Linked DNA regions of Macaca fascicularis. The protein of the gene in region 2 binds, or shares a complex with, the protein of the main gene of each other region. Links are inferred from orthologs where the notes say so. Each region holds a gene or a part of one and is shown on either strand. Other genes may lie near its edges.

Region 1 (4,591 bases), on a different chromosome or scaffold from region 2:
TGGCTCACACCTGTAATCCCAACACTTTGGAAGGCCAAGGAAGGAGGATCAGTTGAGGCCTGGAGTTTGAGACCAGCTTGGGAAACATAGAGAGACCCCATCCCTACAAGTAACTTAAAAATTAGGCCAGGCACGGTGGCTCACACCTGTAATCCCAGCACTTTGAGAGGCTGAGGTGGGCGGATCACCTGAGGTCAGGAGTTCGAAACCAGCCTGGCCAACATAGTGAAACCCTGTCTCTACTAAAAATATAAAAATTATCTGGGCATGGTGGCGGTTGCCTGTAATCCCAGCTACTCATAAGGCTGAGGCAACAGAACCACTTGAACCCAGGAGGCAGAGGTTGCAGTGAGCCGAGATCGCACCACTGCACTCCAGCCTCGATGACAGAGTGAGACTGTCTCAAAAAAAGAAAACATTAGCCAGGCAATGTGGCATGTGCCTGTGGTCCCACCTACTTGTGAGGCTGGGGCAGGAGGATTGCCTGAGCCTGGAAGGTCAAGGATGCAGTGAGCTGTGATCGCACAGTGGCTTGGGCAACAGAGTGAGACACTGTCTCAAAAAAAATAAAATCTGAGAAGTTGGAAGTTGTAGGGGATTTTGCAGATGAAAGACCATGAGTTTCAGAGACTCACTGTGTTCAAGGAGTCCATATTCACACACTTCAATGTGCCTGTGGATTTTCAGAAAAGACGTAAAACAAACTGTCAACAGCCTGGAATGACCAGGCCTCTTCGAGCCCAGAGTCAATGAAATTTAAGACCTGACTCCAGCCTGTGAGTGGGAGAGAAGGAATGACTCTGTCTTACACCCTAGTAAGGGGATGCCCATAGCGAGTGGGGAGTCTTCACAGATGCATCCCACAGACCCCCTACACTGACATCTATGACTCCATGAATTTGGCTGTGTTTTCATTTTTGATAAGCCTCTTTCCATTGCTAGGCCTCAGTTTCTATATATGTGAAGTGAGGAACACGGACTGTGTTTTCTCTTGGCCTCCTTCCAGCTGTGACAGTCTGTGAATCTCGTGGAAGCCAGCTCTGGGTCCAGTTCTGTCTTGGGGAAATTAGACCAGAAAGGCACAGAACATACACAAGAACCCAACAGCATCTTCTAATACAAACCCATACTTCCACTGGCACATAGTATCTTTGCTTATCTAATTATATGCATACACACACAAACACACACACATACACACCAGGCAAGAAAACCAATCCCAGCACTTTGGGAGGCCAAGGCAGGTGGATCACCTGAGGTCAGGAGTTCGAGACCAGCCTGGCCAACCTGGTGAAACCCTGTCTCTACTAAAAATACAGAAATTGGCTGGGTGTGGTGGCACACACCTGTAAGCCCAGCTACTCAGGAGGCTGAGGCAGGATAATCACTTGAACCCTGGAGATGGAGGTTGCAGTGAGCCAAGATCGCAACACTGCACTCCAGCCTGGGCAACAGAGTGAGACTCTGTCTCAAAAAAAATAATAAATAAAACCTGCAACCATTTATACATGCAGCTACCCACATCCTTTCTTGTGGTCACATTATCATACTCGGCACCATCACGTCCTAAACACAGTGTCCCATAATCACCGTCTCACAAAATCTCAGTACCAGACCTCTGCCTACCTCGAGCAGATGGGGCAACTGCTGGGTAACCAGCTCCTTGAACTCGTTGATGCTGAGGCTATCCTTCCGGCCCTCCTGCCTAGCAAAGGTGAAGAAGGTGGTGACCACGGTCTCAATGGACTCCTCTAGCTCTGTCAGTGGTTCTGCTGCCATTAGGACCCTGAGGCCAAAGCTGATGTCCTCAAGGGGCTAGCTGACCTTTGTCAGGGCTGACCTGTGGAACAGAGGAGGAGCAGAGAGGGAGAGTCATGGAGCCCCAAGATGCAGGAATGGTTCAGAAGGCCCCTGCCTTGGTGTTACCGCATCAGGTCTTGGCCTGGAGAGGGCATTATAGGGAAAGAGGGAGAGGACAGGGGTTGAGCTTGGGGCAGCAGACCAGACAACAGCATCTCAGTTTAGGTGGGGGCAGAAGATTCGGCTCCAGAAACCCCCTCTTCTGTAGGTCTCACAATCTGGGCTCCTTTTTAAATGTCTGTGGCTTAGGGACCCGTCTGTGGTGATGCCTCGATCTAGAGACCTCTCTACTTGAGAGGAGGTTTTCAGTTAAGGGTCCTTCCTGGAGTCCTTCGAGTCTGGTGGCCCCTCTGTGGCCTGTCTGTCTCAAGAGTCCCTTCTTGTCTCACCCAGCCTCACAGGTCACAAGGTTGTTTGTCTCCAAAGCTTGTTTATGTTGGGACCTGGTCTTCAGCCACCCGCATCCGCCCACACACACTCTGACCGCTTCTCCCAGCAGAGAAGCACAGGGTCTGGCAAATGTCCCCTGTGGTCAGAGCTGGCTCCGTCTGAACAGACCGATTTTCTCTGCCGGGATCCACCCTTACCTCTCTCCTCAGGGCAGCAGGGCAGAGTGCTGAACCCAGGACCCCACAGATCCTCCCCGCTCCTGTCTCCCCATCGGGAGATAAGGGTCCTGGAACGGGGTGTCTCTGACTCCCTGCCCCACGACGGGTTTAGTACAGGCACTCACAGCCCCCTGGGGTGCGGTGGGTGGGGCTGGAAGAGGCATTCTCTTTTCCGTCCCCCCGTCACGCACTCCGGCATGCACTGTTGCTCGATCATCCAAAGCTGCTTCCTGAATTCCTGTCTGAGCCGGCTCTGGGGGAGGGACCTGGGAGCCCAGGAAGAAAAAATGATCTCCAGGCTCCCTCCAGGGTCGGCAATGAGACTTACCGGGCAAGGAGATGGGGTGGAGTGAGCTGGAGTCTCAAGGCTGAGGTTTATAAGCAGCAGGGAAGGAGACAGCTGCTTACAAGCCCGGAGGTGTCAAATTTCCGTGGTGGATTCTGAAGACCAGAGACAGCCCAATCAGGCCTCTTGCCCTGAACCCTCAGGCCTGGACCCGGGCTCCCTGCCAGCCACACGAGCGCCCCCACTTGGTCAGGGAGAGGAGCTGTCTGGACAGATTTCATTCAGCAGGGGTCCCAGGGTCCTAGTCCTTTCAATACTGGGGGCTGCTGCCACCACACCCCACGTCTAATCAGGAGTGTGTATGCTGAGGGGGGAAGAGGGAGGAAACCAATTGAGGGAGCTCAACACTGAGAGGCCCAATCTGAGACATACACGGAGGCCCCTTAGAATGAAACCCCACAAAGGATGCTACAGCCCAAGATCCCTCAGAGAACCCCAGGCTGAGGCCCCACACACACAGGGGGATCCAGGTTGAGACCCCCATAGAAGAGTCCTGGATTGAAATCCCTCTGTGGGTTCTCAGACTCCCAAGACTAAGTTACTCACTGAGGGTCCTCTCAGTGAGGCCCCATGGAGGAGCCACAGACTAAGACCCCCTCAGCAGAATTCCCCCCTTACCCGGGTCAACCAGCACAGTCAGCTGCAGGTACTGCAAGGCCCGGCTTGGGGTGAGACAACCAGTATCCCTCCCAGGACCTCCTTCCCACCTCTTTCCCCTGCACCATCCACTGCTGCCTAAAGAGCAGGGAACGGGGCAAGCAAGGCTGGGAAAGAGACAAGGGCCGCCTGTTCCAGCCCAGGAGACAGAGGGCGCCTCTGTCTGCTCCTGGCCCCTTGCCCCACAGGGTGTTCGTCTGTGAAGGGGTGGAGTCGGTGGGGGGGTCAGCGGGGGAGGGACTGTTGAAGACAGGTCTCCACACACAGCTCCAGCAGCCACATTTGCAGCCTCGGCTATCTGTCCAGAACCTGCTCCCACCTCAGGCCCAGGCCGACGGTGAGTACCCTGCCCCACCGGGCTAGTCCCTGGCCTGCCAGCTTCGGGGAGAGGGGTCTTCAGAAGGGCTCCAAGAGGCTGGGGCCCATAGCACTGTGGGGCACTAAGGATCTGGGAGGAGTCAGTCAGAGTGAGGGCAGTTTGGGATTTGGGGGAGACAGGGTTTGGAAGGTGGTGATGAGAGACAAATGAACTGAAGGTCGGAGAGAGAGCTGGCAGCTCAGCAAAGGAGGAAGTCAGTGGGGAACCCACCAAGAGCTTCCTGGCCACCTGGCCCTCCCACAGGGAGCCCTCAAGTCCCTGCCAAGGCCCCCTCTGTCTCCCAGGTGTTGGGAAGGGCCCCAGCCCTCCCCTGCCTCGCCTCCTGTGGGGTAAGAAGAGAGCAGATACAACAGCTGTTTCTGCCCCCACCTCTCTTGCCAGCCTTAGTCTCTGCCACCCCCACCCTGCCTTGCCAAGAGCTCAGGTCTCTGGGGAGTCTGGGGGTGGCAAGGCGAAGCTCCCAAGATATGGGGAAGTGGGGGATGGAGGGTGCTGTACCCCTTCCCAACGCTACCTCCACAGGACCTCCCCTTTCTCCTCCTCCCCTTTTTGGCCCAGACCTCTTGACTCCTCTTTCCCCCAATTCTTTCCTCTTTGTTTTCCCATCTGCCCTGCCCCCAAGTCCTCTCAGAACTGCCACCACATAAAATCCCAGGCTGCTCTAGGGCTCCAGGCGACCTCCAGCTGCCCCTCTGGCATGGAGCAGGTAATCAAGCCACCAGCATCCCTCCCTCAAGCACC
Region 2 (4,666 bases):
TGAGTCGTTGGCGATGGCCTCCAGGTTATTATCAGTGATGGACTGGCTTAAACTCAACCGTCTCTTCTTCAGAACCTTCCCATTGGTTGATACTACCACCATGCTCTGCTTGAAGGTCAGCTTGGATGTTTTAGAGATTTCAGAGATACTCAGGGACACAGACTGATCCATGCAGCCTTCATGGAGTGGGCCATAGCTTACATCATAGAAGGATTTCTAGAGGAAGGAAAACAGAAACTGAGAGGCTGTTCGTGGTCAGGGAATGAAAGTCCTTTCAGTAGTGCTGTATTCAACAGATGTAGTGAGGAGGATCTCCATTCTGGTCTTAGGTAACTCATGTTTCATTAGGCTTCCCTCCCTCTCTCCCTTTTGTCTCACCTTCCTTTCTCCTTCCAAGGTAAAAAGATGATTTTTTTAGGAAGACTTTTTCATATATTTGCATGCTCAAAAATGAGATGCTGTAACTAAATAGGTTAACAATGATTGTAGTGAGTGGTAGCTTTCCAATTACTTCCCTCTCAGGAGGCTAAAAATCTACTTAACAATGCTCAAAATATTTTAGAAATACTCCTTTGGGGACAGCTTTTAAAGCCAGTACCAAAGACATACCAGGCAGTACTTATACTGTCTATTTGTGGTCTCCAAACACAATGACACAGCTTGGTGAGTGGCTGTAGATTTCTCACTTTCAATTGGCTTGCTTCCTCTCCCCCAGCTTCATGTTTGGAGACTTTCTCTAACCTCTGATGCTGGTGTCAGAGAGGGCAACCACAACACATCATGTTAGGAGACAGACCCCTGGTGAAGCGGTCTGCGGGGCCTGTCTCAGGATGGCATAACTAACATCCTGATGAAGCCTGCCCCAGGAGACTCCAGTTCTCAGGGATTTGGGATAATTCTGCTCTGTTCTGGGAGAAGCCAATGCACATCAACTTTATAAGGCAGCTGGTCTCTCTTACAATGAAAGACAGGTCTCTGGACGTCTAGTGAGGGTAAAACAAAAGCATTTAAGATTCAAGTCATTGCTGTTCTCTTTTGATGAAGAAACTACTGTGTAAGAATAGCAGCCCCATGAGAATTACAGTCATTTGCTTACCTGATTCAGAGACAGATGGTCAATGGAGGAACTGTCTTCTTCATTTTCACTGCCAAATAAGACGATGAGAATGTAATTGTTTGTTATTTCACTTTGGTCTCTGGCCAACGTGTTTTAATGACCACGGTAGTTGTGGGTCACACACATACACACGGCCATTACTGTCATCTTTGAAATTTAAGGACTTCTACACATACACATAGGTAGAGTAATTCATACCTTACTAATATGGAATTAGTAGTCATCAAGAGAGGCTTTGAGCTTTACCTGTGCTTTATCTATAAAAATTAGACCTGGCTAACAAATTAAAGAGCTTTAATTGAAGTTCAGGGAAGAATGTTAAGCTCCTTAAGAGAAAAGAAAGGTTTTGAAGCACTTCATTTTTATTTTAACCAAATAGATTATATGTTACACATTGCTTTCATGTATTCACTAAAACAGATTTCATAATTTATACTTAGTAAAATATCCAGGCAAAATTTTGACAGCCTAGTTTGCATTAGTATTGACTACTGATAATGGAAACATCATGTTAGTTTAATTTGTTCTGTAATTTTATCTTTGTGTTCATTTACCTTTCTTCTACATATGAGTGAGATTTGCCTGCGTATCTGCGTTCACATGCCCAGCTTGCTGTGGAGTCATTTCCTATTCCTGAAGGAGACCAAGTTTTCCTGAGAATGGACCAGTAAAACCCATTCTTATATCAGGGTATGTGATCTCAACAGAGGCTGTGTCTGAGTTGATGCTGAAATTCATGTAGGACTCAGCAGACCTCAGAAATAACTTTTCTAAAATGGCGGTCTCCCTGCCAATGTAATCTCAGTTTAACATGCTGAATGCTTAGTCTTTCTGGGTCTTCTCTGAACCTGCTCTGACTTCAGAACTAGTACACATTCCTCCAGCCTCTGCCGGCCTGGCCCCATGCTGGTCACTGTTACGCCTAGCTGGATTCTGGTGAGCCTTGAAACCTTCATTAAATCACAAGAGATAAATCTTATTCCTTACCTGTAACAGTTCTTCAGGTCTTCAAACATGTCCGGAACTTTGGCCATCTTGACTTCTGCAACAGAGAACACCAGCCACAGTCAGCTCAGCCAGCCTCTAACCCGGATACCTGTGAGGGGAACCCCTCCTCTTTGTGCTTCTTGAAAACTTTGTTGAATGACTTAGTCCACATTCAGCATTTTCTCCATCTGCTAGCTCCTTTAAATTAGTTTGCTATGTACCTGTCTCCTTTATTAGATCGTAAACTTCTTTTAGAATGTTTTATTTATATTGTTATTCCTTATGTGCCCAACCTAATGTATTGCACAGAACAGGCATTCAATCAATGAAAGTTTGAAGAGGTTACAGAAACACCACAAGAATAAGGTGTTTCCCTTACACAGAGGTAAGGGAGAGACAGACTTGGAAATGTTCAATTTTCTCCCAATAATTTTGGGTAGTAGAGATTCCCTCCCATGAGAAGCCTCAGTTGTATTCACCCCATGCCCTCACAGGAAGCTAATTCTGCCATCTCTCAGTAAAACGAATCGGTCCTTATCAGAAAAATGAGAGAATAATTTTCTAAAATCTGACTGTAATTCTAGGTCACATACCAAACCGGGGAGGGACAAGAAAAGAAAGGAGAGGCTGTAGCTTTAGAGAAGGCAATGTGAGAGAAAACAGCCAAAGAGAAAAACAACAACAGAAAATACTTTAATAGCCAGAGATGTGAGGACAATACCTTTGCTGACTCAAACGCCAATGAAATGACTCCCTCTCTGGCTGGCAGCTTAAGCCTGAGTCAGTCTTCTTCGCCTTTTGTAATTGTCTTAAGTAGGCGTGGCTACAAGTACGTCGTCAAAACGGGGAATTTACAGGGAAGAATTCAGTTTTGTATTTTTCTACGTTCATTCAACTTGATACTGGCTAAAATAATGAAAGATGGCATAGCTGATATTATTGTTGTTTGCAGATATTCCAGAAGTTATTGACTTGGTTCCTTTATTCACTGCTTTGCTTTATAAGATGACAAATGTGTAGTCTTAGAAAAAGGGAAGTGCAGGAAACTTATCAAGTTTCTAGGAGGAAGGGAGAAATCCTGAAATCAGAAGCCAAGGGGCTAGATTTGGAGAGGAATTCATGAATAATAATAGTTCTAATAGTAGCTGGAGTTGTGTTCCGGCTGAATCTGTTGGTCGTGCTCCAGGTTGAATGTGAATTGGCAGAATACTTGGCAGCTTCTGGCAACTTTTGAGGGAAAATGAGCCATCTTTTCTGAAGAGGGAAGTTTGTTTGATTAAGGCATAAATCACTTCAGAGTATGGGGTGACAAGCTCCCGGTTAGGTCAGGGTAGAGAAGAGAAAAGTGATATTTGACCACAAAGAAGTCTTGACCCTCTTACTCCTCTGAATATTGTCAACACATTTCCTAGAGAGGGGACAGAGCTTCGGGACAGAACTCTCCACCCTGACCCTGTTACAGTAAAGTAGCCCTCTACCGAGGACCCGAGGACCCGAGAGAAGCCTGGTCTTCTGTAGGATACGCCCAAGGTGTGTCTTCTGTAGAAGAAGGTGTGTGAAAGCCCCTAGAGGTATGCCTAAGGCCTCAGCCAGAAGCCAGTGGCTAAGTTTGGGAGTGGAGATTGGGAGAAAGGAAGGCATGGATTTTTACATCTGAGACTTCAATGGTGTTGCCTGGTTACTATTATTAAAGAATTTCTCAGCTTTTATAATTCCCGTGGCCAGCCTAGTTCAGGTGGCAGAACACCAGACTCTTAGCAAATGGATGTTCCCAGGTGGAGTTTAAACCATAAATATTTTAAATAAAGGAAATGAACTAGGTGTGGTGGCATGCCCCTGTAGTGCCAGCTGTTCAGGAGGCTGAGGCAGGACGATCACTTGAGGCTCAGAGTTCGAGTCCAGTGTGGGCAACGTAGTGAAGCCCCCATCTCTAAAAAAACAAACAAACAAACAAACAAACAAAGGAAATGGATGGAAGAACAAGGTAGAAGAGGGAGAGAAAAAAAAAAGAGGCAAGGCACTAAAACATGGTATAGAAAAGCAAAAAAGTATGGATCTGGGAGGAAAGCGGCTTGTGTGAGTTGGATAAAGTATTCCCTCTGTTCCTGTTTAATTATAAATAATAGGATTGGTTAGATGTCATAAGGTCTATTTCAGGTGCAAAATCTCTTATTCTGATTTAATGCCAGTCTAATTCTCCTGGTCATGTACCTGGTGCTATAATAGTTATAACAAGAGCCGCAGAAATAACCACACTTGGATGTAAGCAATGTAAGTGTAGCACCAGACTAGGGTAGAAGCTTGGGTGTCTAAGGATAAATCCTGAAGGAACAGTGATGTCAGCCAACTGGCTACATTTCTGCTTACCTTGGTTCCTCCTTAGGCAACACAGAAATGTTAATCCTGATTACCCCCTCTCCTCCTGAGAATCTTGTGAGGGCTATTGCTAAGGAACAATTGCAAAGCACATTGTGAATGTGAGCTGCTATGGAGATGCAACTAAACAAAAATAATAACAATGCTAATGATGGCTTCAGTCACTCAAGAACCTGTATAGTCATC

Evidence for each region.
Region 1: the proteins of IL1A (region 2) and S100A13 are in contact, whole or in part, in an NMR structure (PDB 2L5X), measured with the Homo sapiens proteins. The link is inferred for Macaca fascicularis from reciprocal best matches to the Homo sapiens genes IL1A and S100A13. Residues at the interface, in NP_000566.3 of Homo sapiens: Asn148, Gln150, Tyr151, Thr194, Ala195, Gln196, Asp197, Leu203, Leu204, Lys205, Glu206, Met207, Gly216, Ser217, Glu218, Thr219, Asn220, His239; in NP_001019381.1 of Homo sapiens: Met1, Arg25, Gln26, Glu27, Gly28, Arg29, Lys30, Asp31, Ser34, Asp68, Ser69, Glu70, Lys72, Phe73.

What each region holds. Positions count from the first base shown.
Region 1 is NC_088375.1:107,540,135-107,544,725, reverse strand, and holds the start of S100A13 (protein S100-A13), read right to left. Parts: upstream 2,930-4,591; 5' UTR 2,797-2,929; exon of another isoform or gene 2,448-2,796; intron 1,841-2,447; 5' UTR 1,780-1,840; coding exon 1,627-1,779; intron 1-1,626. UniProt on the Homo sapiens protein: Plays a role in the export of proteins that lack a signal peptide and are secreted by an alternative pathway. Binds two calcium ions per subunit. Binds one copper ion. Binding of one copper ion does not interfere with calcium binding.
Region 2 is NC_088387.1:19,784,102-19,788,767, forward strand, and holds the start of IL1A (interleukin-1 alpha), read right to left. Parts: upstream 2,877-4,666; 5' UTR 2,826-2,876; intron 2,160-2,825; 5' UTR 2,152-2,159; coding exon 2,105-2,151; intron 1,146-2,104; coding exon 1,097-1,145; intron 217-1,096; coding exon 1-216. UniProt on the Homo sapiens protein: Cytokine constitutively present intracellularly in nearly all resting non-hematopoietic cells that plays an important role in inflammation and bridges the innate and adaptive immune systems.